Linked DNA regions of Notamacropus eugenii. The protein of the gene in region 1 purifies or fractionates together with the protein of each later gene. This does not show direct contact. Links are inferred from orthologs where the notes say so. Each region holds a gene or a part of one and is shown in the gene's direction. Other genes may lie near its edges. The genes, in order: ZC3H18, VIRMA, RBBP6 and SRRT.

Region 1 (6,825 bases):
ATGCTGCTATAAATATTTTTGACCATGTGGGACCCTTTCCCATTTTTATGATCTCTTGGGGATACAGTCCTAGTAGCAATATTGCTGGGTCAAAGGGTCCAAGCCCTCTTAATTCTCATGCCTTCTATTATTTCCTCTTTATCCTGTACAGTTTGTATATATTTGTTTGTATGTTGTCTTCCCCATTAGGTTTTACGTTGCTTTTGCCTCTTTTTGTATAGCTGGCCTCAGGACAAAATAAATGTTTATTGATTCCCCAATAATACATAGGTTTCCAGGGTTGCTTCACTTAGTCTGGGTATCCTGCATACAACACTTAAATGCTTACTAGATGCAATGCCTCAGGTATTTCATAAGGAAAGTCCATAGAATTATCAATATAGGTTTTAAGGCTTCTGATTAAAACAGTTTTTGATAGTTGACTACTCCTTCCTTCTAGATACTGCCTCCTCTTTTTTTCTAAGTTTTCTCTTGGTTCTTTTCCTACCTGCCTGACCTTTTGTTTTTCCCTCTTCTTGACTGAATCATCATTCATATCACATTCCCATGAGTGTATCCCAAAGACCCTAGCCCCTCTGCTTTCTTCATTCTCTCACTTGGTGACTGCTTTCAATTGGAAAATGAGATTTCGATGGGATCAAGGGTAGGAAGTAGCAGGAGGCAATGTGGAGGTAACAGACAATGGAGGACTAGGCTAGGTTAAGGGTAACATTTGGGCATGAAAAACTAAATAAGTGGGAAGATTCAAGGAGAGTTCAAGGTGGGGTTTTCCAGGGCCTATGGACCATTGGGACTCAAATTCTTTTGGGGTAATGTGTGAAGGTCTTGCCTTGGGCTGGTACCCCATCAGACTCATCCAATTTCCTGAAGCATCCAAACTCAAAATGGAATTCATCCTTTATTTTTTTTTTTAAATCACTCTTCCAGACTTCTCTATTTCTGTTTAGGTACCACTATCCCTTCAGCCACTGAGGTTTTATATACAATGTTTCTCCTTGGGAGGCAGCTCTGTGGCCCAGTAGATATAGCTGGTCCTGGAGTCAGGAAAAAATGAGTTCAAATTTGCCCTCAGACACTTATTACCTGTTCTACCCTGTAGGTAGCCTGGGCAAGTCACTTAACCTTTGTCTGTCTCAATAGCCTAATCAGTAAAATGAATATAATAATAGGACCTATCTCCCAGGGTGGTTGTAAAGAACAAATAAGATACTATGTGTAAAGTGTCTAGCACAGTGCCTGGAACATAGTTGCTGCTGTGCTTTTTCCTTCATTCTTGAAGAGGACCATGATATCAAGATGATGACATGACTTGCAGTTGATTTTGATTTGAGTTTGGGAGGGCTGTGCAAGGTCACCAACCTCACTCTCTCCTTCAGAGCCATCTGGGTTGGCCTGATTTCATCAGGACGGCTAGAGATGGCCCAAGATGCAATGTGAGACCTTGGCCTTTTAGGCTAAGGTCTTAGTACATTCTCACTGAAGAGGCCTCTTTAAGTAGTCAAGGGATGACCCCTTTAATAAAAGAAAAAAATCAAACTGGGAAAGGAAACCTCATGGTCCCTGGGTAAAAGAGAAACAGTTACTATTTAGTATTTACATTCACTCTGTGCTAGGTGGGTGGGGACTTGTTGTCAAAGCAATTTTTCCTAAAGGGTGTTTTATCATGTTAGCACTGCCACTTCTAACCCAGCCATAATAAACTCCCATCCATTCAATAAACATTTTTGCTTGTTATTTAGTCGTTTTTCAATTGTGTCTGACTCTGTGACTTCATATGGGTTGCAGGGGAGGCAAAGATACTGGAGTGGTCTGTCATTTCCTTCTCTAACTTGTTTTATATAAGAGGAAACTGAGGCAAACTGGGTTAAGTGACTTGCCCAGGGCAACACAGCCATCGTCTGAGGTTAGATCTGAACTCAGGAAGATGTCTTCCCGACTCCAGGTCTGGCACTCTGTCCACTTCCTCCACTAACTGCCCAAATGTTAATAAGCATTTATTAAGTACCACCTATGTGCCAACACAAGTAAACAAGCTCTTGAAAATCTGATAATCTCTTTTCTTCCCTTTCCTCCCCTTCACCCACGGGACTCTGATGGCTTACAGCTGTCCCCTGCCCCGCCCCTGATCACAGACATGTTTAGCATTCCATTTTCCATCTCCATCACCTCCTCTTGGAATCCTTTTCAGCTCAAATACTGTCTTCTCCACCAGGCTTAGGCCCTTCTTGGTCTCCCTCTGGTTTGGGGGACCTCCCTCCCCCCACGCTCTTCCCTCTTCCCCAAAGCTACATTGTATCTTCTTTGTATGGTTGATTGTTGTCCTTTGTTCTCGAAGAGGACCAAAATGACATCACCATGATAAGGTCAAGTTTCAGTGTGTCTGACTGTGGCTGATCAGACCAATACAAACTTGGAATGCTCTACCACAAATTGGGCACAGATAGTCTATATGAACATTTTGGGTGGTTACTCCAAATTTGCACATCCTATATTTCCTTTGTATTGTCTCAATTCTGTTTCGCTCATAGAGCACAGCACCCTTTCTGATGTGGGCACACCATGCTGAGTGGTCCTATGACAGTGTCTCCCATGTCCCACAATCAAATCCAAAGTTCTTGAGAGAGACCTTGAGAGTGTCCTTGTATCACTTCTTCTGAACACCATGTGATTGCAACGCCCCATATGAGTTCGCCATAAAATAGTCTTTTTGGCAAGTGCACATTTTACATTCAAACAACATGGCCAGCCCATCAGAGTTGCACTCTCTGAAGCATAGTTTGAATACTTGGCAGTTCAGCTAGAGCAAGGACTTCAGTCTCTGGTACCTTATCCTGCCAGGTGATCCTCAGAATCTTCCTAAGACAGTTCAAATGAAAACGATTCAGTCTCCTGGCATGGCGCTGGTAGACTGTCCATGTTTCACAGGCATACAACAATGAGGTCAGCACAACACTCTGTAGACCTTCAGTTTGGTAGTCAGTCTAATACCTCTTCTCTCCCAAACTTTTCTTCAGAGCCTCCCAAATACTGAGCTAACTCTGGCAATGCATGTATCAACCTTATTGTCAATGTGTACATCCTTGGAAAATATACTACTAAGGTAAGTGAACTTATCCACAGCATTCAAAACTTCTCCATTTGTTATGACAGATGGTTCCACGTCTGGATGGTGTGGTGGTGGCTGATGGAGCACTTGTGTTTTCTTGGTGTTAATTATTAGGCCAAAATTAGCACAGGCAGTAGAGAACTGATCCATACTTTGTTGCATCTCAGCTTCCGAGGCTGCATTGAGTGCACAATCATCTGCAAACAGAAAATTCCAGTCATCAATGGAGTGAAACAGGGCTGTGTGTTTCCTCCCATGCTTTTTAGCATGATGTTTTCAGCCATGTTGTCCAATGCTTTCAGTGAGGATGAACATGGCATCAAGGTCAACTACTGTACTGATCGTAAATTCTTCAATTTGAAAAGGCTACAAGCCAAGACCAAAGTGGAGCGAGTGCTGGTGCATGACTTTCTGTTTGCCGGTGATTCTGCACTTAATGCAGCCTCCAAAGCTGAGATGCAACAAAGTATCTTCTTTTCATGTGCACACTAGAATGCTAAGCTCCTTGAGGGCAAGAGCTGTTTCGTTTTGTCCTTGACTCTCCAGCGTGCTGAATGGTGGCTAAAACCCAGAACATATATACTGCATTTTTATTGGTTTCAAGGCCTGATTGACCCATATGCCTCCATTTATCTTCCCCCAGTGCCTCCCGCCTCCCTTTGCGGCAAGGTTTCAGGCTAAAGGCAGCGTCTGTCTCTTTAAGCGTGGCACGCACAGCACGCAGGGCACTCACGGTCCGGCACGGCGCGGAGAGAAGAGGGGGCGGAGCGGCCGGTCCAGGCCAGGGAGAGAAGGAGGGAGGAGGGAAGCCCGCTCTCTGGAGAGAGGCGGTCGCGGCCTGATGACGTCGCACAATGGCCGGCCCCCGCGGGTAGTGGAGCCCGTTTGTTCCGCCCGCGTCGCCCCGAAGCCGGAGCCGGAGCCGGAGCCGAAGCAGCCAAGGTCTGTGAGGAGCGGAAGGACCGGGAAGACGCCTCGCCGCGCAGCCGTCCCCCCTCCCCCGCCCCGTCCCCCTCCTCTCCTCCGCGGCCGCCCTCGCGCTGAGGTGAGGTGAGGAGCGGGCGCCGGGGACTGGGCGGCGGCAGCGGCGCAGGCCCGGCCTGGGCTGGAGGCCGCGGCGGGGGCCGGCCGGGGCGGGGGGAGCGGCGGCCCCGTACGAAAGGCCGGGCCGCGCGCGGGGGCCTCGGAGGCGGGGAGGGGGGAGGGGCTCGGGGCTCGAGCACTTCAGGGCTCGTGGCTCCCCCGGCGCGCGCGCGAGTGTGTGCGCGTGCGCGCGTGGGGCGTGGGGGGGAGGGGCCAGGTTCGGCGCCCGGCTCCGTGGGGGGAGCGGCGCGCTCGGGGCTGGTGGGGTGGGAATGCAGCCCCAAAGCACGCGCGGTCACACTCCCTCACTGCCCCGGGAGGGCGGGCCGCTTGCGGCCGAAACCTGGAGACGCTGGCTGCGCTGGGGGCTGGCCGCCCGTGGGGGTCGCTCTGAGCGCCTGCCTGGCTTTTCCGGAGCTGTCACGGATGCTGGGCCCGAGCTTTACTTGACCCGTGCTGACCGACCACAAAGGCCAGCGGCTGCGGTCCACGAGGGCTTCCCTCCGCGGAAAGTTGTGGCGTGAGAAACTTTTGGGTGGAATTTGCTGCCTTTCCTCTCTGGAGCGTACTGGCTGGCTGTGCTCCAGGCCACTCTTGCACCTTTTAGAAAGAAGAAAGCGACAGCGTAACTTCCATGTCTGTCTGATTAAGAAATGGAAGCAAAGTGGGAGGGTTGTGGATGGGCTCGAAGTAACTGTAGCCATGCTGGGGAAAGTGAAGGTTTCCGCTCTTGTGCCTGAGCTCACGCTGAAACCTAGACTTTGCTACAGGGATTGTCTGTGCTTTGTTGTGGAGCGTGCAAGTTTTATCGCATTTACCTTTAAAAATATTCCTACAGCAGTTTAAGGTTCACAAAGAGCTGGAAGTCTTAGTGCAACTGTTACTTCATCTTACAGATGAGGAAAGAAGGCTTCTGAGAGGTCAGATCGTCGAGGTCTCTAAGTCCATTGTCAAGTCGTGCATTTAAGCGCTTGCTATGTGTCAGGACCTGTGCTAATTTAGGAGAATTTTACATTTTTTTTAAATAAGAGAAGAGAGTCTCATTGTGTGTGCGTTTGTGAGTGTATGCCATTTTGTGACATATCATTAGTTTTTTTTCTGACCAGCAAGCCTTAAGTTCCTTTTTAGTGATTTAGCTCTTTGCTTGATGATGGGACTGGGATCACCCTACCCTTGCCCCATCTGAAAGATTGGGGTAGCTCAGAGGATAAACCTTGACTATTGATTGAGCCAGCTTCATCAAGTCCAGGAAACCTTTTATCTTAAGTTGTTTGATAGCCATACAGTTTCCTGAGAAGATGTGTCCATAGTCTTTAAATGGTCATCTGTAACCACAGAGAAACAGTATTGCCGCTTCAGAAAAGGTGCAGTAAAGCCTTGCCTGTGATCAAAGTAGTTTTTGACTTCTTTCAGCAATTCTTGATTGTTCAAGCATGAATGACTGCCCTAGGACATTGGGGGAGCCATAGAGCAATGAGTCTCATAGTTAAATTTGAGGGAAATTAATGCTCAGTCCCCAGCCATACTGTTTCCTTCTGGGAGTGTTCACCTTTTGGGTTTCTCTCCTTTGTGGTCTCGGAGTTATGGCTGTAAAGTAAGAATGCTTTAAAAAGTAAAATTTTAAAAATACAGCCAAATGAATATTGACCTTCAAACAAGTCCCTTGGGAAGCTATATACTTATTCCAATAATGCTGTTATTGGGCAAAACATTTTAAGGAGTCCTCTTTGCCTTCAAAGCCTTTACAAGCTAGGGAAGAATATCAAGGTGATTATTTATAGTAGCCCTTGCTTTTTGGCTAAAAATATTATTACTCAGCTCAGTCTTTCAATTATTCATTAGATTTGAGATTGCTTGCTTTTTTACTCTTTCTGAATTCAGATTGTTCCCCAAAGGACAAAGACTTGCCACTATTTAATATATTTGAAAATACTGCCATATACACTGAAAGAGAAGTTTTAAAAGTGAGTTTAAATAGAACTGTTACTAAAATTTCCTTTTGTCTTATAAAGAGCCTTATTTGTTGGAATAAACATGTCTTCTTGCAGAGTGACTACATTTTGGTTTTTTTCATAATTTAGATGTAAAAACAAAACCAAAATATTTCTCTAGTTGCTTTATGATGGTGTGGAGGTGATACTGCATTCTTGAAGGTTGTGCCAGCAGAGCACAAAGGTCTAGCAGGTCCTAACAAAATTTTGAGTAGGACCCTGGCAATGGACTTGTTTGAGGACCAGCCAGACCCAGTGAAGTCTTATCACCAGAACCCTGATAGGGTGATGAATTTATTTGGTCCCAGAATTTTCATTTATGTAATCTATTTAGGTGTGCAGTTATCACAGACTTTGTATGGAGAGAGCGTTCACATTGCTGAAATCATGAATCGCAAATTTTTGCTTCTTAAAAATCATTCTCATCCTTTCAATCATATCTCATATGTCATAGGCAATTCCTTAAATGTCTGAACAAAGTCCTGAACGTTAGGCTTTAAACCTTGACATGAATTCATGATCATAGGATAGATAGTATTAGTTCATCTAAGAAGATAAAATTGGTCAAAATTGTTAGAAGTCAGCTAAGACTTTTTTGTTCAGAAAGTCTCATTTGTAAAACTAAAGTAAACCAGGTTTTTCTGA
Region 2 (7,209 bases), on another chromosome or scaffold:
CTCATCTATTGCAACTATTAGAACTCATCCCCTATGGTCAGCAAACTTACACTACTACTAACACTCCCAAACCTTGTGATATTGCCTAAGAGTAAACTTTTTCCATCAGCTCTGCACTGTTTAAATCATTCAGTACAGAAAGAGGGGTGGGCATGGTCTCTATCTTTACCCCTATCCCATAATGTGGCTTTAACTCTTAGTGTTTCTCTAATTGTGGAGGCCAGGTTGGTGATCCTCTTCTTTTCTCTAGAGAATGCTGCTAAGTAAATCATCTTCTGTCTCCCAGAAGGTCTGATTCCTGAAATCTTTTACTCAAGGCTGCTCTAAGGGCAATCCTTATGGTTAGGGCTGCCAGTCTCTTGACTGGCTAGGAGGTTAGATTTCCATATCATGCTGGTTATGAAATCTTGATTTACCTGTTATATTATTATATCTGTATTATAATATGCTTGAACTTAGGGTTATCCCCAAACAACTCCAAACAGCCCAGAAAAATCTCCCTCCTCTACCTAGGAAATGACTCTAGGATCATACTGCCAAAGAAACAATTTAGGACATTGTCCATGAACCACTTTAGGCTGAATCAGTCAGCACATTTTTGCTTCTGCCACATGCTTCTGCAAGTTTGGAAGGTGTACTAGTTCACTGTCAGAGGACATATATTTGAATCCTACCTCTGGTTCTTTCTACTTGTGCGACATAGGGGAAAGTCATTTAAACCTCTCTGAATCTTAGTTTCTTCATCTTTAAAATGAGGGTGTTAGACTAGATGACCTCCAAAGACTTCTCCGACTTTCAACCTATGATCTGATACTTCAGCCTTTGGATTGAAAGAGTCTGCTCTCAGGAGCCCTCTTCTTAGGCTACATCATAGGTAAGCAGATATTTTCTCGTGTGCTTCTACTGCAAGTCGACATCAACTATTCCTGGAGGTTGGGGGGGAGGGAAGAAGAGGTTTGATCCTCCACCCACTACCAACCCACCCACTACCCACCCAATACCTTTGTGATACTCTCGGTACTGCAGAAGAAAAATAAAAGGCAAAAAGGTAAAAAAGACAAAAAGAGCTGAATGCAATTTGTTATTCTTTTACCACAGAGAAGTGGTTCTTTATATTAGACTCTAATCTCCAGAGTCCCAGCTAGCTAATCTTTTTGGGGACAGCCCCAGTCCCTAAAACTCAAATAGGAGGCATACCTGGTTTATCAACAAGGTAACAATTAGTATGTCCATTCTTTTAGGGGAGAGGTATGCTCAAATATCCATGCTAACTACCACTCATAGGACAGACAAGTCAGCCTAGTAGAAGCAGCAAGGCACCTTGAGGGAGAGACAAGAGGTATATACTAGGCAGGTCAAATGACCACTATTAACTTTATCACTACCTCCCCTGATTCAATGAAGACAGTGCAGGGCCCAGAATCCAAGAGCCTTTGTAATAGCAATGCTTCCAGGCCAACATCTTTAGCCATCATCCTGGGAAGCAGGAGATGCACATCATCTGCTCTGCAAGTGGTAGTCACAACTATTGAAGAACCAGAGAAGAAAGTTCCTGTCACTAAAGTCCTTGGTACTATTAAATGGTTGGACATCACAAAATAGTGGAAATGATATTGAAGAAAAAGCATTACCATGTTGTCTCTACTCAATAAATGCCAGTGGTTTTCTATTGACTCCAGGAGCAAATATAAAATGCTGTTTGGCATTTAAAGCTCTTCATAACCTAGCCCCACTCTACCTTTCCAGTCTTCTTATACCTTACTCCTCAAAACATACTCTTTGATACAGTTACACTAGTCTTCTGGCTGTTCCATTAATATGACACTCTATTTCTCACCTCTGCCTGTCCCCATGCCTTGAATTCTCTTTCTTCCACTTGCACTTATTGAGCTTCCTGGCTTCCTTTAAGTCCCAACTAAACTCCTTCCCACAGGAAGCCTTCCCTAATCCCCCTTCATTCCAATGTCTTCCTTCTGTGAATTATTTTCTATTTATCCTTTATGTAGCTTACTTGGTATATATTTCTTTGCATGTTGTCTCCCCATTAGACTGTAAGCTCCTTGAGGACAGAGACTGTCTTTTGTCTTTTTTTGTATTTCTAGTACTTAGTACAGGGCTTGACACATAGTAGATGCTTAATAAATCTTTATTGAATTGAAATGAATTGAATCTGCTTTGTTGCTGCATTCTAAGGACTACAGGATCTTTTCATTTGATTTGCAACTGAAACCTTCATCTGCTGTCCCCTCCATTGGAACATAAGTTCCTTGAGGACAGGGACTGTCATATCTTTTTATTTGTATTCTCAGATTTTGGCAGAGTGCTTTACACACGGTATTATTCTCCTAACACTAGATTAGAAGTCCCCAATGAGCCAGTAGATTCAGTTTGTTAGCAAAAGCATTACTCAAATGGCATAGCAAAAATGGTAGTTATAAAGCTTTCCCCCTAGTCAACAATAATTGATTTATTGAGCATTTGTACTCCAAAGGAGAAATATGCTTATCAAAATGACCAAAGGGAACTCTTTAGATTAATTCCCTTCGCTTCATGACATGAAATTATAAATGGTATGTTTATCGGATTTTCAGATGACAAAATGCTGAGGCACAGCTAACCATGTTGAATGATAGAATCCAAAATGATTTTGACAGGTTAGAACTATGAATGAAACATAAAAGATTAAGTTAAAAAAAGATAAATGTAAAATATTACATGGGTTAAAAAAATCAGCTTCCCTTTTATAGGATGAGACAGACTTGCCTAGGGAAATGTTTGTATGAAAAAGGATTAGAAATTTAGTGGACTGGGAGCTTGATATGCGAATCGGTACAGGAACAGGATAACCAAAAATTCTAGTGTGAGATCAAACAGTATTCTGAACAAGACAGGAAATATTACTCTAGTTTATTCTGGTTGTATCACATGTGGAGTGATGTATTCAGTTCTGGGTGCCACATTTTAGGAAAAACTTTAAGGAACTGGAGCTAGACAAGCTAAGTGAGAGGGCAGGCCAACCTGCCAAGTGGGGATTGGTCAAAGGACTGAGGAGACTGAGCATAGAAGGGAGAGGATCAGGGGATAGAGTATGACCATTGTCATATATTCGAAATTGCTGAAATGTGGAAGGAGATTAGGTTTGTTCCCCTTAAACCCAGAAGGCAGGACTAAGAGAAACTGCAGATGGGGAGATTGAGAGTTGGTTCGAGGAACACCTTTCTGACAAATCGGCGCTGTTCCAAGTGAAATGGGTTGCCTTGGGAGACAATGGATAGATACTCCACACTGGAAGTCTTCAAGTGGAGTATGAATGCCTGCTCTCCCCCTAAGCGCCACTCCTGGGGTGCTAAGTACTACTACTGTCCCCATTTTATGGCTGAAGAAACTGAAGCGGAAAAGGTGAGCTGCTCATCTAGAGTCAGATACTCCAGGCGGGATTTGAACCCATTCTCTTCCCGACTTTCCAGGTTCCTCCGTCCGATCAGGGCCCCAGGGGGCATCAGAGGCACCTAGCAAGCCCTTCACTGTTTGCCACCAAGCCTTACTTGACCCATGAACACGGATGGGCTCACTAACGGAGAGCAGGAGAAGGCTCCCTGCCTTCTGCGTAAGGACGGACAGTCCGGACAGTCCGGCGAGTCCTCGGTCCTGCGCTCAGGGAGCCCAGTCCGGAAGGGGGCTGCTCTGGCTCACGTGACGACCCAGGGAGGTAGCGGCTCTAATGAACCACCTCGCACCTCCGCCGCACGCTTTTTGGGGTTTGTTTTGTGGTCGTTCTGAGCCTGGGGTGACAGCGTACGGGGGTCACCGACAGGCTACTGGACCCTTGGCTCAGGGGCCAGGCTTCCGGGCCGGCCTCCCCAAACCCATTTTCCAGATGGGACAGCGGGCTCCGGGCACTCAGGTGGACTCGCTGCAGGTTCCCCAGATCTAACGGGCGAGGCCGCGCCGCAGGACTGGTCTCCCGCCTTCTCTGGCCTACGGGACGAGGTCCCAGCGTTAAGGGCGGCGGCGGAGGACGCGCCCATAACTGTGGGCCCAGAAAGATAAGCTTCCTCCTCCTTCCCGGCCGCCCACTCGCCCAGCGCGGTCCACATCACCGCACCACCACATCCCCTTGGCTCTCTCGGGCACCCGTAGCATCGCCGAGATGCTCTGACCCTTCTCCTCCGCGGAGGCCCGGGGTGGGGCTAGGGTGGAGGAAGGAGACGGCGACGTAACGGGACGGGGCGGGGCCGAGGGACAACGTGAAGGCAAAGGGGGAGTTGGAGGTCGGCGCAGGCGCGCCGGCGACGGAAGTGCTGGTCCTACGGCTGCTGCGCTGCCGCGGTCGCTGTGTTACCCCGGAAGTTCTGCCCCTGCCCCCGCCCGCGGCAAACATGGCGGTGGACTCGGCGATGGAGCTGCTATTTTTAGACACTTTCAAGCACCCCAGCGCTGAGGTAATGAGGCCGGGCTCAGCCTAGCCCCTTCCTCTTGCCCCGGGGACCCTTCTGGGAACGCGTGGGACGGGCCTGGGGCCCCATTGCTGTCCCCTTCCTCTTCCTTTCCGCGGGGCGGCCGCCCTGCAGATGGAGCCCGGGGGCGGCCGCGGCCCTGCTCCTCGCTCCCCGCTGTGGGTGGGGGAACGGGGAGGGAAGCACCTCCGGCGCCCCCGAGAGGGGGTTGTCGCCGTAGGGAAGAGGAGGGCGATTTCATAGCGCGGCCTTTTCCCTCTGCCTTCTTGCAGTCATTTCTAGGCCTGCAGTGCAGCGAAGGGAGGATAAAACTGGGGAATGAATGACCGTGGCTCCTGGGGTCTCCCGGGACCGTGTCCTTGAGAGGTCAGGGAGAGCACCTTGATTGCGGGAGAGAAAGAGAGGTAGAGCTGATGCCTCGGGTTTGTTGGATCCTTGTTTGATCGCTTAATTTCCTCCCTACCACCCCCAGCTCCATTTTTCCTACTGACGCTAGGTGGAAAGTCCAGATACCAACTGTTTTACTATGGGAATTGAGCAAGTCTTCCGAGTCAGACCACTGTCAGTCCATAAGACTTATTGCTTGGGCATCCTCTTTGTGCCAGATTTTCGGAGAGGGGGACGGCTTAGGAGATTTGGAAGAGAACGGGGTTCAGAGGAAGTCCATTGGGGAATCGTTGACCTGAATAAAAGTAACTCCTCTGGTCCTTTTTTTCGCTTTTAGAAGTTGCTTTTGGGTGCACAGAACCATTTAATTAACTAGTTCAGCAGCACATAAGCTCTTTTTTTGCATATTTTCTTCAGTTCTTAGAGCACTTTGCTAATTAGGTTAACATTTACCGTAGAACAGTGATCTTTACCCTTTTTTGTGTTACAGTGCCTATGTAATGTGAGCTAGACTTTGCAGAGGCTACTTTCATTATTACACTGGAGATCAGGCAGGGCAATTCATTCATTAAAACTATATTGAGCACCTACTGTGTGCAAGCTGCTGTGCTTCTTAGAAAACTTTGTATAAATTGTGAAAGAAGCTGCACAAAATCATTGCTGCTTCTAAAATAACACAAAAAAGAAAAAAGGTACTCCATTGATGGGGGTGTTGGTCATTCTAGTAGTGTCTTTTTGTAGGAATTAGAGTATTCGGTGAATATTTACTGAATATTTCTTATGGATAAAGTTTTGCTGTAAAGAATAGAAAGACATAACATTTGGTTGTAGTCTGCAAGAAATTTAGTAACATTAGGGTTGGAAGAGACATTAAAGATTACCTAGCCCAATATTTCCCAGTCTGTAGTCCAAGAAGACTGGAGGAGTTACTGTAGGAGGATCCTAGTAATGTCTTTTTGCCAGGTATCATCAGTGACTTTGGCTTAGATAAAGGAGTATGTTGCATGTTCGTCACATTTGAAGATGACACAAATCTGGGAGGATAACGTTGGATGGCAGGATGCAGAAGGATTTTGACTTGCTACAGCATTAGACTGAATCTAATAAGGTGAAGTTCAGGGGGGTAAATATAAAGATTTGAATTGAGTACACAAAAAAAATCAATTTATAAGTATTAGAGGCATAGTTAGGTAACTTTTGTTCTGAAAAAGATCTGAGGGTTTTAGTAGGCTGCAAGCTGACTCAGTGTGATTGTAGCAGCCAAAGAAACTAATATGATCTTGGATTCCATTAAGTGATGCATAAACTATGTTTCAGGACAGGGATTGTACCATTGTGTTCTGTCCTCATCAGACTTCTTTTGAGTATTGCATTCCATTCTGGGGACTACGTTTTAAGAAGAACATTGATAAGAAGATGGAGAGTGCTCAAAGAGGGCAACTGAGATAGTGAGGGATCTTGAATGCATGTTATTGAGGATTGGTGGAAGAAACTGTCAGTTTAGCCCAAAGAAAAGATGGCTCAGGAGGAACATGATAGTTGTGTTCAAGTATTTTGAAGTGCTCTTCTGGTGAGAGAAGGATTAGACTTAATGTGTTTGTCCCTAGAGGATGTACTAAGTAGCTATTGAATGAAGATTACAGAGAGGAAAATTCAGGCTTGATGTCAAGAAAAACTTCCCAACAATTAGAACTGTTCAGAAGTGGAATGGATTGCCTCAAGAAATGTGGTTTCTCCTTAGTTCGAGGTCTTGAGGCAGAGACTGAATGACTACTTGCATATGTTATATGTTATATATATGTGTGTATATATATATATCTATATATATATATCTATATATATCCTATATAGGGATTACTTTTGTGTATATATAGGTTGAACTAGAAGGTCACTAAGGTTTCTTCTGTCCCAAATTCTGTAAATGTGATTGTGATTTTTGCTCTTTAGTGCCAACAGAATATGTAGTGTGACTCAGTATAATAAATGAGAAAACATATCAAGTAGATTAAATAAAAAAGAAGTTGAATTTATATATTGCTGTTTTCAAGTATATGTACATGTTATTGTCTGAATATAATAAAATATTATTTTAAGTTAATTTAGAAGCCTTATTGCATCCAAAGAAACTTTTTGTCATATATTTTCTCAGTCACTGAACAGTAGTACCACAACTGTTCTGCATGATCATGAGTTCTGCATGATTTTTTTAAAGAAAGAGTTACTCATATGCTTTGCAATCATTGATGTAGTCCATACTCCTCATTTTATAAAAAAGGAAACTGAGACCTAGAAAAAGGGAAATGACTTCCCAAGGTTACTCAGCATGTTGACAGAATAAGAAATCCTAGGTTCCCTGACTCCCTAT
Region 3 (7,176 bases), about 650 Mb from region 1:
AGGACTTCGTCATATCTATCCATACCCCATCCACTTAGCCCTTTCATCTTTTTATGTATCATCTTCTTTTGATTGTGAGCACCTTGAGGGCAGAGACTGACTTATGACTTTTCTTTTGGATCCCCAAAGTTTAACACAGTATCTGGCACATAGCAGGCACTTAATGCTTATTGGCTCTGATAGATCATGTTTATGGTTTTTGTAAGGTTCAAAAACAAAAAGAAGGTGAACTTTCTTCCTCTTCAGGGCCACAGACCCACAACTTTATCTAGCTTTGGTATCATGAGAAACCTCCTCAAAAGTCCCATTCCAGTGACTCATTGTGGCATGGATGATCCTGGGTTCTAAGACTACATCAGTGTGTATGGCATAATGGATGCAGAACCAGCCTCAGAGTCAAGAAGGCCTGGAGTCAAGTCTCACTTCTGGCACCTATAGGCTGAGTCACCCCGGACAAGTTATTCAGCCTCTCAGTGCTCCGAGCAACTGTCAAGCATGATAATTTACTGAGTACCCTTAGACCAAGGAGTTTCCTCATTGAAAATTCCCTACACCAATAAAATCACAGTTCTAGGCAATTGCTGGCAGGGATCAAGAGCTGGCAAATCTTTGTTATGATCACCTACTGTTGCTCTTTTCGTTCATTCCATCCCTCCTGCTCTGGCCTCGTTCTCCCTTCACTCTCTTGATCCAATAATTGACCAGTTCTGTTCCTTGCCAAATGCAAAACCTGGATTACCCAACGCTGTAACTCCCCAACCCCATGCTAGAGTTCTGCTAGAAGAACTGGAGAAGAGTCTATATTATGTAATCTCAACTGGGCCCTCACTTTGGCATGGGAATCCTTTTATTTTTCCCTATCCCACTTCTTGGTTGATATTCCAAGCTATCTCCTTTATCCCTAACCCACTTCCTCTTAGCAGATAATCTTGCTTCCTATTTTGTTGAAAAAAATCAAGGCCAACTACCATGGGCTCTCTCTTTTTCTGTACATCTCAGAATTCCTCTATCACCCCTGCTTTCTCCTCCTTTACTACATTCTCTGAGGAAAAGGTGACCCTCTGTCTTGCTAAGGCCAAGCACTTTACTTAAGTGCTCTGAAAGTTTATATTTTTGATAATTCCTTCTCATCAGTAATCCCTCCTTATCTATGGGCACCTGGCTACAAGAGTTAACTACTCTCCTCTAGCCTAAAAAACAAAAAAAATAACCAACTCTTATGTAGACTTTACTATCTCCTCAAACTATTAATTATAGTTTTTTCCCTTGAACAGCCAGTCTCCTCCTAGAAAGGGATGGGGAACCTGCTAGAATGTCACCCACTTTTCTTGCCCCTACTTCTTTCTCATTTTAAACCCCTTGTGATACATTTCCAACCCCACTACTGATGGAAATTTCTCTCTCCAAACTTATTAACAATTTCTTAACTGCTAAATCCTATGGGCTTTGCTCTTTTGTAGCCTTTGATGATGTGAACCAGTCTCTCCTCCTGTGTATTTTGTCCTCCCTTGTCTTCTATGGCATTGTTCTCTCCTATTTCTCTTCCTACCTGTCTGTCTATACCTTCTCAGTCTCCTCTATTATATCTTCATTTATCTTTTGCCACCTAAGTCTGTTCCCTCTACACTCTTTTACTAATCTCATCCATTTCCATGAGTTCAATGATCATCTCTATACATATGACTCCAAAAATCAGTACATTCAGCCTTCATCTCTTTTGAATTCCAGTTCTGAACTCCCTGCTGGCCATCTCCACTTGGATGTTCCACTGCCTTCTGAACCTCAACATGTTCAAAATTCCCCCTTCTCTGAACTCCCCTATTTCTGAAGAAAGCGCCTCCTTCCTCCTGGTAACCCAGATCTACATGCCAAGAGTCATTCTTGACTCTTACTTCTTTGATGCAATGACTCAAGAAAAAGATTGATGTGAGAGATATTGTTGAGGAAGAAATATCAAGATTTAGCAATGATTAAGTATATGAGCTGAGGGAGAACAAAGAGTCAAGAGGATAAAAAGTTACAAACCCAGTTTAACAGGAGACTGAAACCACTTCATTTGTTAACTAAGTGAGAATACTTGTTTGAATCCATCTGAACGTGTGTGGCCCCAGGCAAGTTGTTTCATTAAACTTCTCTCAACCTCAGTTTCTCATTTTGTAAAACAGGAATAATAATAACACCCACCTACTTTCTAGGGATAAAATGAGATGATATTTGTAAAGTATTTTGCAAACCTAAAAGCCCTGCAGCTTTACAAAAAGAATCTCATCTAATCTTCAAAACAACCCCGGAAGGTGGGTGCTGTTACTATAATACCCATTTTACAGATGAAGAGACTGAGGATGACTTGCCCAAGGTCACACAGCTAGCGAGGTGTCTAAGTTTAGATCTGAACTCAGGTCTTCCTGAAAGTAATACATAGATTGTAGGTCCCTTAAGACAAGAACTGTTTTGTTGGGGGGGGGGGGGTTGGTTTGTTTGGTTTTTGCTTTTTCTTTCTGTCCCCAAGTTAGCACCTAGTAAGCCACCTGAACAGAAGGCAGTTAAGTGGCTCGGTGGACAGAGTGCCTGGAGTCAAGAAGTCCTGGGTTCAAATATGACCTCAAGCACTTCATAGCTGTGTGACCCCGGGAAACTCACTTAACCTCTGTTTGCCTGAATCTACCGGGGAAGGCAACGGCACACCAGGAAAACCCACAGAGAGCAGGGCCCGCAGGCTCCCGGAGAGGCGCACGTCTCCGCTGCCCCGCTGACTGCGCAGCGCTAAAGGCCCTCAGTCATTTCCGATCCGGGGGCCGCTGGAAGCCCCTCGGGTTGCGGTCGGTTCGCCTTCTCTTTGCCTTCTCCCCGCCACCCCCCTAGCCCTCCAATGAGCCCCTCCCCTCTGCCTCCTCCCCACCCCACTCCAAGCCAGATGGTCTCTTCCTTCTGCAAACAGGGTCTGCCCTCGCTTGTCATAATGCGCCGGGTCACGTGGCGGGGGACAGCGAGCTTTGTGACGCGCTGAGGCTCCGCCCCCTTTCCCTGTCCCCGCCTTCCGCGCGGAGCCCGTGCAGCGCCTGCTTAAGAGACCCCGCACTGGGGCGCTCAGGCTGAGTAGAGCAGCGGCCGCCATAGTGACTGGCCGGAGTTGTCGCTGCTGAAGGGCTCACCGGCTGAGGAAGGAGACGTCGCCATCGTCGATTTCGGAGCCCGAGGTTTCTGGCGTTCCCGGCCCAGGGAAGCGGAAGAGGAAGAGGAGGAAGGTGGCCGCGGCGGCCGGGGGCCCGCACAGCGTCCCTGTGCTGGCTCGGGGCTGGGGTGAGGCGAGGCCCCGGGCCTAGTGCGGCCTAGTCCCAGCTTTGTCTGTGAGGAGGCGGCGGCGGTCTCCGCGGCCGAGGGGGAGAAGGAGCCGGAGGCGGCGGCGACCCCGTCAGGGAGGCCTCTCTGCCCCGCTTCCCCTAGGTTTGCGGGGTGCTCGTGTCTCCTCCCAGCGGGACTCCGTGTACGGGGAGGAGGAGGAGGGGGGAAGGGGGCCGGGGCGGGGGCCCGGGCCCGGGAGCTGACGCCGATCGGGAAGAAAACTGCAGTCGCCGGGAGCCGAGCTCGGCCAGGCGGCCGCCCCAGGAGGAGACAGACAGACAGGCAGGCAAACAGGAGGCCTGTGGCCTTGGCGGACTCTGCCCCGTCCTCCCCTCCTCCCGGGGCCTGGGGTCGCCCTCGTTGCCGGAAAGAGACAGAGGGGAGGTGGCGGCGCGATGGACCCCTGATCCCTCTGGGGGGGACTCGAACTGTTTCCCTGGACTGCTGCTGATTGCGCCGCCCGCTTGCCTGTCTCCTGCAATCCCTTAGCATGAGCGAGGGGGGCCCCGCTGGGTGACATTGTACGGCTTCTCCCCGTTGGATCCCTTTCCTCTCCTTTCCCTCTTCTCCCTCCTCCCCACCCAGGCCCTCCCTCCAAACTCCCTTCCCCCATACCCTCCCGCTCCCATCTCTCCATGAAGTGATTTGAATATTTTGGGGGGGATTCTTGGTTCAGAACCCCACTCGTGGTGGGGGGGCAATAAGGCCTAAGGTTCCCTCAGTTTCTGAGTGTTTCTGTGTGTGTACATATCTCTTAAGTTTATAAATATACGTATAATTCAGAGTGTCACGTCTCATCGCTGAGCCTTAGGGAACTTTTGGCACCATGTCCTGTGTGCATTATAAATTTTCCTCCAAACTCAACTATGATACCGTTACCTTTGATGGACTGCACATCTCCCTGTGTGATTTGAAGAAGCAAATCATGGGGAGAGAGAAGCTCAAGGCTGCTGACTGCGATCTACAGATCACCAATGCGCAAACGAAAGAAGGTATGAGCCCCGCAGGGCCCTAATCAATATTGGTTTTCGATTTGGAAACTTTACTTGTAATTTTGCTTTGCAGAGGTTATGTGTGTTGGCAAAGTTATTTTTTGTAAACCTTTAAACTCTTAGAACATCTTAGAGTAAAAAAAAACCATAGAAAATGTGAGGTTTTAATCCAGTTCTGGATCTCTTATTTCCGCTTTCTTTGCAGATTAACTGAAGTAAGTGAATGATAGGTTAGTTTTTGTCTAGTTATACAACTTGTGGCTTTTTGGATCTGCACTTTGAGGCTGTGTGCTGCCCCTTGGCCATCTGGCTCCTTCTTAACACTTGCCCTAGTGGAGAGGGAAGGGGAAAGACCTTAGTCTTGGTGAAAACTGCTTCACAGCAAGTCTTGTTAAAGGATTTTTGGGGAAAGGATGACCAATTGCTTCGGTTTCCCTCATATGTAATAAGATGGTAGGGTTCCTTAGTCTTTTTTATTTTAACTCCCTTTATCTCCTCACCTCATCCCCCAAATTATATGCAGTACTAAGGTGGGGGTTCTCCTTTATTAACTGCCATAAAGGAATTTCTTCCACCTAGTCTTCAGTGTTGAAAATGTTTGGGTTCTTTTGTGTGTTTTTAGAGTCCCTAATCAGTGGTGATCGTAAGAGGTGCTCAGTTTTATACAATTTTTCTAGTTAGAATTTTGAGTGCTGATTTTGAAATTAATACCTAGGAGACTTTTAGTGATTTTTGAACATGCTGCAAAGAGGCCAGAAGTTTCCATATTGGCACAGATTAAGGAAAACTTCCTTGTTGAAAGCTCTTAGTTTGAATGGACAATTTGAAGATTTTAAAATAATCATTAACTTAAATGGTAAAGAATTGTAATAGATTCAAAGGAATTCAAATAGATAGTTGTTTTGTTTTAAATTACATTTAGTGGGGGTTAAGATTTTTTAAAGGGAGTTGTTGCCTTGTGTAGTTAGAACATTTAAGATTTTGAGTTCCTAAAAGTCTCACTACATCAAACCTTCTCTTTAGTGGGATTCCCTAGGTAGAGATGCTGAAAGTAAAATTTTAATGTTAATTTTTAAATAGGTATTCTGGGAAATGTTGTGAGATTCATTCCTTTAAAATATCTACTTTAGTTGATCTTAATTGTAAAATGATAGGTTTCATTTCTCCAGTGCATCTATAGCTATCCTAGAGTTTTGTTAGATCATAGCACTATTGGCTAGAGATTTGGGAGTTGGTTTGTTTGGAGGTTTTTTTTTAAACACCAGTGACCAGTGACTTTTTTGTTAAGGGTACAACACTGTAATATGTAATTTAAGCAAAGAAGAATTTTGCCCCTTTGCAAAACATAGGTACTTTTTATTCAATATTTAGAAGACATTTTTTGTTTTAACCAAAACTATTTTGCTTTAAAGTTAAAAAAATTGTTTTTTATTCATTGATTACAATGCATTGTATCATTTACCATATTCAGCAAGATTTGGAGTATTTAGTAGGAAAAGGAAAGGAATGATGTCTTCCATCACTGTACTGATGTGAACAAGTTGTATGGGGATTTATTTGAAATACTTTAAAAAATATTTGTGATTCCTTCATAAAATTATTCACCAACCGTTTATTAAGCACCTCCAGTGTGGCGCGCACTGTGGATATAACTAAAAATTAATTTTATTTTGGGTACTAGTCCTTATTCCAGCCATCAGTTTGAGCACTCATAAAGAAACAAATGAAAATACACTTTGAAAGTGGTTTGTAATCTTAGACTTTACAAATAGCCCTTGAGAACTTTAAGTTTCCTACCTTAACCTTTAAGTTTCATAACTTACTTTATGTTTCTTAAAGCTTTATAATGACTCCTTTAAGTATTTTTTCATTTGGATAAATAATACATTTGGATGTAGCATGCTTAAATCAAAATTCACTTGTAGGAAGATGTATACAAGGCATCTGATAAATTCTTACATTGGTAAGTGATAGCCTATACTAATATATAGTTTGCAAATTATCAAACTCTTTTAGTATAGATTTACTCTATTAGTGCCCCATATGATTTTAACAGCATGTTAACTTGCTAAAAGCTCTTTTAATATAAAAACATTGGCTATTTTTATGAGCCTTATTAACTAAGAATTAATGAATAAGAATTGTGTCACTCAATTTTATTTTGAGACTATAATTAGGTTCTAAATACTGACTTTCTATAAAACCAGTACACTGATAACATCTCACCTTGAGTTCTTTAGTGCTAATGCAGAATTCCATTTTTAACTGGAACAGCCAAAACAGGTTTCAAATGTATAACTTCCAATGTAGAAAAGCCATTTCAAAATTCACACCAAGTTTGCTTCAAAATTTCACTGGATTACAATAAGACCTCACTGGTTTGGCATATTTGCTATGTTTCTAAGGGTTGGTGTTTTGTTGTTTAATCTTACGTAATATTTTTAATGTATTTCTAAGTAATAATTTACCTAGGCTAGTGCGATTGCTAAATGTCCTTTGGGAGCCCACTTAAATAAGTGAGTGGTGATAATTTGGGTATTAATAAGGCTTTTCTACAGCTTAATCTGTTTAAGAAAAAGTTGTTCAAACGATTTCCATGCATTCTTTTTCTTTTCTTCCTTGTATGTGATATCAGGCTAAGTTATATTTGAGCCCTATAAATTTGGAATTGGTAGGTACTGAGTAAAAGTTTCAGTGTCAAGATAATGTGAGAATTACACTGGGCAGTGACAGTCAATCTTCAAATTGTTAGTCAGATCTTCTAGCATCCTACTTTTTTATGTTTCATCTTATTTTAAGTTTGCAATACCATGGTAAGTAAGCACCATGGTCTGTCATTTAG
Region 4 (7,808 bases), on another chromosome or scaffold:
TCCAGAAAAAGTCATAATGTGAGTCATTTGTCTATACAAACAGCATAGGAGGACTTGCAGAGAGGTATATAGATGTAAGGGATGGGTTTGGGTCAGGATCATGCACTCCAGTGCCCAGGGAGAAGCCCAGACCCACACTGGGACAACTAATAGACCCAAACTACAGCACTGCAAAAGGGATAGAGGCAAATCAGCATCTTTGTTGCCCCCCTACTCACATCTGAGTCACAGATTCAGAGTAGACTGAGATCTGTGAATAAGGGTGAGACTCTCTGGTACAGAGACAGGGAACTTTTTTTTAATAAAAGGCAGTTCAGAAACAATCAGAAACAGTACAGTTCAGACTCCAGGCCTGAGTAGGGTCTCATTTTTAGCATCTATTCCAGCTCATAAGAATCCCAGCCCAAAGTGGAGTCTATAATTCTGCCATTTTGAAAAAAAAAAAGAAAGCTTTTCAGCTGACTGATAAGGATTAAATACAGCTAGTCTGAGCATGCTCAGATACAAACTGAGGTAAGGAACTTGCAGAGATCAGACCAGAGGGTAGCAATTAGACTTTTCTCTAGATCCCACCTTGGGAGCACTGACAATTTACAGTACTCAACCTGTCCTTGAGATCCTGGAATAATACAACACCTAATATCTTAAGAAAGCAGCGATAGGGCCAGTCCAGACCCTGTCTCCAGAAGTGTCACAGAGTCCAGCCCTAATATCAAGTCTAAAGTTAGGAAGTAGGCTGAAAGAACAAGTAAGCAAGCAAATTAACAAATAAAAAGAATCCCACCATAAAATTCTGTTATGGTGGCAGGGAAGCTCAAGACATGAACCCAGAAGAAGATAATGGCTCCAAAACATCTACAAGTAAAGCCTCAGTGAAAAACCACAGCTTGGATAAAAATTCAACTAAAATTCCTAGAAGAGATGATGCAAAAGTTTTGTTTTTTTTCTTAAGAGTTTTAAAATGGTTTTATCAAGGAAAGGGAGCACTTGAAGGGAAAAAATGGGGGGGAAAGAGAGCTTTAGGAAAAAAGAATTGGAAAGAGAATAGCATAGTACGAGAGGTAAAAAACCTTGACTAAGCTAGCATTATTATCAGAATGTTAAGATTAGAATGTAACTACAAATAATAAATGCATATTACTGCAGCAAATAATGCTTTATGAAAAACTGTGTAACAAAAATTCAAAGTAACATATATGAACTCAAAACCACTAGTTATTTTTCCATGTATCAACATATATTACAACTTTTTCATGTATTAATATATATTATACAATGATACATATAGCAAATATTTAAAATATGTATCTAGAACACCAATACAGTTCAGAAAGTATGTCACATAAGGAAACGAGTATGTGTTAAGTCCTACTATGAACCAGGTACTTTAGGTGGAGTAAGCTAGTTTGGATAAGCCCTTTATTTCATAATTATTACTAAGATTCTAATACTTGAAAATTGTTTTTAAAAAATTATTGCAGGTAAAGTAACCAAGAAAGTATAAAAAGGTATTCTTGTGGACAGGCTTTTGTGTATAACAGAAATATGACCATGTAACAGAGAACAAGGCTAGCCTATGAGTAATGTGTGAGTGTGTGAGAGTGTGTGTGTGTGTGTGTGTGTGTGTGTGTGTGTGTGTGTGTGTGTGTGTGTGTGTGTGTGTGTGTGTAGCTGGGTGATTATTTTCTTAAACTCATATTAAAAATGGGGTATTGGTTTGGAATTACAGCTATCACATAAGATATTTTAAGTCTTTGGTACAGGTCTTTTGAGATTTAGGATAAAAGCCACTTTCCCTGGGGTGAGGGAGGGGCAATTCTATACCTGAGGAATTCTAGACCTGAAGAACAAAGATTAACCTAATTTAGGTCAGTTTAGCTTTCTTTCTCACCAAAGACTGGATCCTGGTTCTAAATGATCATGGTCTGTGTGATAGGTGATTATAAATCTACGCAGTTCACAGTGATTTTCTCAGTGTTTAAAGGTGAACATAAGCAGGAGTGGCATTAGGAATATCAGATGATGTTCAACAAAGATGATAATGCTTCCTGCATAGTCGCTAATCTTCATTACAGGGCAGGAAGGATTAATTATTTTGTCCTACTGTAATGCCAATCCTGGCAGCACACCTGAGGACTGCTACTGTGAATAATTTTTAAGGATCTAATGGCATAGTATAATGAATTCTCTATTTATTCAGCAATAAACATTTTTCAGTAAAGTAGCATAGCATTCATAGCAACATCCTTAAGCAAAGTATATCATCTAATATATATATAATACTCAGTATGCCATATGGCTCATAGCATATGTCATTGCATCCCCAAAGTCAGGATGTCCTAGGCTAGGGTCTTGTGTAGCATGATACATCCTTGCATCCTTAAGAGGTAGCAGAAAATAGCACACTATCTACTCCTAGGTCACTATAAGAACAATCTCCTTAATCAATACACAGTGTTGTGTTGTAAAGTTCTCATCTTGACTTGAGGCTGACTTCCAAACTCCATGGCTCCTCCTCCATGGGCTGACCACTCCAGCTCTTGCCTGGGTTCACACATAGGCAGCTGTCTGTTCCTGCTCCTTGTCTCATGTCCCAGGGACTGTTCCACTCCAAACTCTTCCTGCTTCTGTCTGACAGCAGGTTCCAGGGGCTTCTGCCTGCAGTTTCTGTTTCTAGGAAAACAAAGCTTAACAAGGCTATAACAATATTTGTACACATTACCAGCAGCATTATCTCAGTTCACTTTAACAGGGCTTAAAAGGGGCTTAAGGGAAGGCTCCTTCCCATAGGTAGATTTCAGCTCTTCAGCTCAATTCTCTCATAAAGACCCACAGAGCTTCTGTCTGAGAAATTAACACAGACCAACAGACAGGACTTCTGTCTGATAAATCAACCCATCAACAGAGGGAGTGCTGATATCACAAACATTCTTTCTATTAGGGCTCCCCACAAGCAAGTTCTCCTAGCCTGCTCACACTCACCTCTCTCTTAGCTCTGCTTCTCTCTCTACTCTCTCCAAGCAATCAATCAAAGACTCTTCATTCAATTAAAGGCACTTGATTAGCTAAAACTCAATCCAGAAAAGCCAAGTAAAAGTAATTCAATACTACACATTTTTTTCAAAGCTGCCAACTTTTCTTTGCTTCCTTGTAGGTTTTCTTTTGTTCTCTGCTGTGCACTCTTTGCACTTATTTTCTTTCCCTCCCTCCCCCTAAAATTAAGAGGATAAATATATAAACACAGATATCCACAAATATACACATATTACAATATACACTCATACACATATATGTAATGCAAACTATGCTTATTTCCAGTTGTCATCTATTTCTCTGAAGGTGGAAAGCATTTTGCTTCATAAATCCAAGTTTTTCCAAATCAACCAGCTTATTATTCCTATACCACAGCAATATTCTAATCCTATCTGAGAGATTGTCTATGGAAGTTTTCCCCCAATTTTCTGCATTCCTTCTATTCTTGGCAGCATAAGTTTTATTTGTACAAGAAAATCTTAATTTAAAACAATCAAAATTATCCATTTAACACTTCAAAAATGCTTTCATCTTATAGTATAAGGTCTGATACTATTCAATCTACTTCCTTTACATGTTTTCCCCTGGTTTCTTTGAAGTTTCGGACCTTTTATTCCTCCAAAGGAACTTTATTATTTTTTCTAACTCAGTAAGATAATTTTTTGATAAATAAATTGAGATGCTTTTCCCAGTCATTACCAAAAAGCTATTCATGCAAAGATACCACTCTCTTTAAGTTTGGCGGGGGACATCTTTCCATAGACCAGCAAGGACGCAATTAGGGAAGGATGACCATTAACAATAGAAAACTCACTCCCATGAGGAGAACATATTTAATTATTCCGTATATCCTTTTTTAGTGAAGGGAAAATAGTTTAAATATTGCCATTCTGGATCAGCCCATTGATTAGATAAGGCATGCTTTGCTTGAAAAATATGATGTTTTTAAACTAAAAATTTGCAGGAACTTCCTGATATGAGGGGCAGATCACAATATTAAAAATAGTGACATTACAAGGATTCTGAAAGAATGGGCCAAAGAACTAGGGAATTATATAATACCATTCACGATAAGGTCTAGGGAAACCATTATTGGTATTTTGTGAATTATGTATTAGATCCACAGACGACACCTTATATAATGACAGTAGGCAAACTAATCTACGTCCCTTTTTTTTAGAGGGTGGCCTTATATGTAAAATGAGTTTAATTCATTTTTAAGAGATCACTGGCAGTATATGTGTCCTTCCCCATTCCATAAATGAAATATTTGTAAAATTACTGTCTGGCATCTATTCTCCTGCAGTCTGACTCTTCGTGATGCTGTTTTCTTGGCAAAGATAACTTTTGACAGATGAGGAAACTGAGGCAATCAGAATGGACTCGCCCGGGGTCACACAGCTAGTGTTTGAGGCAGTATCTGAAGGCCCAGTGCTTCCTAATTACAGGCCCAGCGCTCTATCCACTGCGCCGCCTAGCTGCCCTGCCTGGCACCCAAATATAATAATATTTGCTCCTTCCCCTCCCCCATTAGATCGTAAGCTCCTTGAAGGCAACAGCTGTGTCATTTCTCATCTCTGACTCCCAAAAAGCTTAGCACCGAGTCTTGAACATTACGTGTGCCAGGAACTGTAAGTGAACCCAACTGAAGACGGAACAAAACGCCGTACGCCTCCGCTTCCCTTTGCCCCCTCTCCAGGCACTTCCGCCTCCGTCCATCCGGGAACTCTCAGCCCAGGCCCCTAGAGAAACAGAACGCGACCCAAGAGCGGCGCATGCGCTGACGTCGACGTTGACGCCGACGCCACAGTCGCTCCCAGCAGACACTGCAGAAGGAACGGCGCGCGCGGACTCGGCCGTGAGCTGTTTTCGTCACGTCTTAGTTCTGACCCTCCGGCCCTCCCCGTCGCCCCCGCGCCCCTAATTGCCCCGCTTCCCCCTGCTGTGTTCACGCAGACTTGTGTGAATCCCGCCTTGGATTCCGCCTCCCCCTCCCCGACTCCCTCAGCAGTAGAGGGGATAAAAGACGACGCGGCTGCCGCCGAGCCGAGCCGCCTTCGTTTCCTGGAGAGGAAAGGCAGAGGCCGGCCTGGCCTGAGGTGGGCCTGAGGTGAGGAGGGGATGGGTTTCCGAGGCGGTGCCTGGGTTGCGGGGCGTTTCCGTTCCTTCCCCCTCCATCCCGTGTGGGGCCTCGGTTACCTGGTCTGCTGCGGGAATGTAGCTTTACAGGCCCCAGAAGATGGGGGATAGTGCAGGACCTAATTACATTCTCCCCCCTCCCCCACCCCGGTCACCTTCCTGGGTGCTCTCTGAAAGAACTTGGAAGACTACTTTATAAATATCTTTTATGGTTGGTGGCTCAGAGCTGGGGGAGTACGTTCTGAATGAGGTCCAGGAGCTGAGAGCACAGCTTGGGGGATGGGGGGGGGTGTCTTTGTGTGTCTGTATCTGTTTGAACGCTTGGAAGCTGTGGAGAGGAGAACTGGAAGATCTCTGAGTGGGACTCTTATCTTTCTTGGAAAGAGAGATGTCTGAGGGAACAAGAGCTAGTTTGCATTGTTGGGGATGGAGAAAATTAAGGAGCCTTGGTTAGGGATATTATTGTAAAGTGAACCGAACTCTGGATTTAAAGTGGAAAGACCTGAATTCTAGTTGTCTGCCGTGAGAAGGAATGATTTGGCTTTAGTCTGATCTGTAAGAGGATTGGGCTAAATAATCTCCAACGTCCTTTTATCATTGCGTCCCTTTCAACTCTAATCTATGATTACAAAGTGATTTTTTTAGAGTTGAGCTAGATAATCCCCACGCTCCTTTGTCTCTGGGTCTTTCAGCCCTAAATTGATGATAAAAACTATGATTTTACCAGGATTAGGGATGATGAGGCTTAGAACTGTCTAGAGGATAATTGAAAATAACACTGGACCAAAATTCTGAAAGTTTGGTAATTTCCTTTTTAGCCGTTCTTTATCAAGATAAGCATTTTGCAAACTTTAAAGGCTGAGTAAAGTCTTTTTTTTTTTTTTTTTTTTTTGCTCTGATGAGGGAAGGACTTGGGAATGTAAGGGTAGCTTGTTGGTAGTAGGGCCATGGCAGGTTCTCTTGAACACGTGGAAGAATAATATTAGAAAAGAGTAGAAACCTAAGGGACCCTCATGGTGAAGGGAGGGAAAAGGAAGAGAAATTGTCTTTTTAGATAAGATGAGCAGGAGTGGGGCAAGGAATCTTATTTAGAGATACATAGGGGAGCAGTGGCTGCCTTATGGGGGGGCAGAATGGTGAAATTGACTTGAGTAGGTCCAGAGAGGGGAGTGTTCTATACTCCCTTCTCCCTGGTGGCAAAGTCAATGTGGCTCTTCTGTAGATGGAGCACTTGGCCTGCATTTAGGAGTTCAAATTAGCCTCAGATACTTACTAGTTGTGTAACCCATTCCTAAAGCACCCACCTCTAAGGGTTGTTGGGAGGATCGATTGAGGTAATATTTGTGAAGTACTTAGCATAGTGTCTAGCATGAAGTAGGAGCTGTAATGCTTATTTCCTCCCCTTTTGTTTACTACCAGGTGCTTCTGGTCACTTTCCAGCTTCTGCTATGGGTGACAGCGATGATGAGTATGACCGCAGGCGAAGGGACAAATTCCGAAGAGAACGAAGTGATTATGATCGTTCAAGGGAAAGAGATGAGAGACGGAGGGGAGATGACTGGAATGATCGGTAAAATAGTCCGATTCTTTTATATAAATATTTTCTTTATGAGTTTAATCATCAAAAACCTTTCAAACATATATATTAAGTGTATTTTATTATGTGCTTATTAAATGTATATTAAACCAAACTTTTCTTATGTATAGTTTGATTTTGTTTTTAAGTACGGTTAACAAATTAATGTTTTCTGAGGGATTGCCTGAAGTTTATTTTCTTACGTGTATTTTTTTCTGGTTTATTGATTTTCCTTCTTACGGGGGACATCCCAGTCACTTCCCATTAAATTTTCCCCAGATCTTTCTTGTAACATAAGCCTAGTCTAACAACTCGTTTGACATCTCTGAAAATGTATGTTCAGATCCAAACTTCTAGCTCATGACCAGGTCTCCAAAGTAATGATTGGTCACTGTAATGATCAGAATTCTAAAGACTTTTCATTGTTGTTTTCCTTTACAATGTTGTTATCATTGTTTCCCTGGTTGTTTACTTTTCCTCTCCATCTGATCATATAAGCCTTTCTGAGGTTTTTGGAATTTTCATACTCATTTTTTACTATGTGATAATATTCCATTACTTAGCTATACTTCATTCCTCACTTAATGTTTTCAGTTTTCTCCCATAAAACGTGGTGTTTTATATGTATGTGTGTGTGTGTGTGTGTGTATCTGTATGTATATATATATATACATATATATATGTTTTACATTTGGTCCTTTTTTTCAGTGTTCTCTTTGGGAGACTATGCCTTGTAGTGGTATGATTGGGGTCAAAAGGTGTGCCCATTTAATATTCTGAGTTATTTTACAGAACATTTAGACAAATTCACAGATCTAATAACAGATTCATCCACAACCCAACAAGAGGACACTCTCATTTTGTCATTTTTGTTTTGTCATCTTTGCTAATATAATGGGTATGTGGTGAAAAATCTGAGTTGTTTAAATTTATATTGCCCTTATTGTTTAAAATCATTATTTTGGTTTTCCCACCATACTCTCCTAAGGTTTTGTCCCATGTTTTAGATCTGAGCATATCTCTCAATGGGGTCAGGAGGAAGCATTGGGAATTCTGAGCA

Evidence for each region.
Region 2: the proteins of ZC3H18 (region 1) and VIRMA purify together in Homo sapiens (affinity purification with mass spectrometry; 3 studies listed by BioGRID and IntAct, counting the BioPlex papers as one, with this or other methods). This does not show direct contact. The link is inferred for Notamacropus eugenii from reciprocal best matches to the Homo sapiens genes ZC3H18 and VIRMA.
Region 3: the proteins of ZC3H18 (region 1) and RBBP6 purify together in Homo sapiens (affinity purification with mass spectrometry; 3 studies listed by BioGRID and IntAct, counting the BioPlex papers as one, with this or other methods). This does not show direct contact. The link is inferred for Notamacropus eugenii from reciprocal best matches to the Homo sapiens genes ZC3H18 and RBBP6.
Region 4: the proteins of ZC3H18 (region 1) and SRRT purify together in Homo sapiens (co-immunoprecipitation; 4 studies listed by BioGRID and IntAct, counting the BioPlex papers as one, with this or other methods). This does not show direct contact. The link is inferred for Notamacropus eugenii from reciprocal best matches to the Homo sapiens genes ZC3H18 and SRRT.

What each region holds. Positions count from the first base shown.
Region 1 is NC_092872.1:705,297,982-705,304,806, forward strand, and holds the start of ZC3H18 (zinc finger CCCH domain-containing protein 18), read left to right. Parts: upstream 1-3,818; 5' UTR 3,819-4,048; exon of another isoform or gene 4,049-4,156; intron 4,157-6,825.
Region 2 is NC_092875.1:158,466,626-158,473,834, forward strand, and holds the start of VIRMA (protein virilizer homolog), read left to right. Parts: upstream 1-4,192; 5' UTR 4,193-4,379; coding exon 4,380-4,442; intron 4,443-7,209. UniProt on the Homo sapiens protein: Associated component of the WMM complex, a complex that mediates N6-methyladenosine (m6A) methylation of RNAs, a modification that plays a role in the efficiency of mRNA splicing and RNA processing.
Region 3 is NC_092872.1:59,381,053-59,388,228, reverse strand, and holds the start of RBBP6 (E3 ubiquitin-protein ligase RBBP6), read left to right. Parts: upstream 1-4,168; coding exon 4,169-4,334; intron 4,335-7,176. UniProt on the Homo sapiens protein: E3 ubiquitin-protein ligase which promotes ubiquitination of YBX1, leading to its degradation by the proteasome.
Region 4 is NC_092873.1:79,879,753-79,887,560, reverse strand, and holds the start of SRRT (serrate RNA effector molecule homolog), read left to right. Parts: upstream 1-4,803; 5' UTR 4,804-5,143; intron 5,144-6,591; 5' UTR 6,592-6,620; coding exon 6,621-6,742; intron 6,743-7,808. UniProt on the Homo sapiens protein: Acts as a mediator between the cap-binding complex (CBC) and the primary microRNAs (miRNAs) processing machinery during cell proliferation.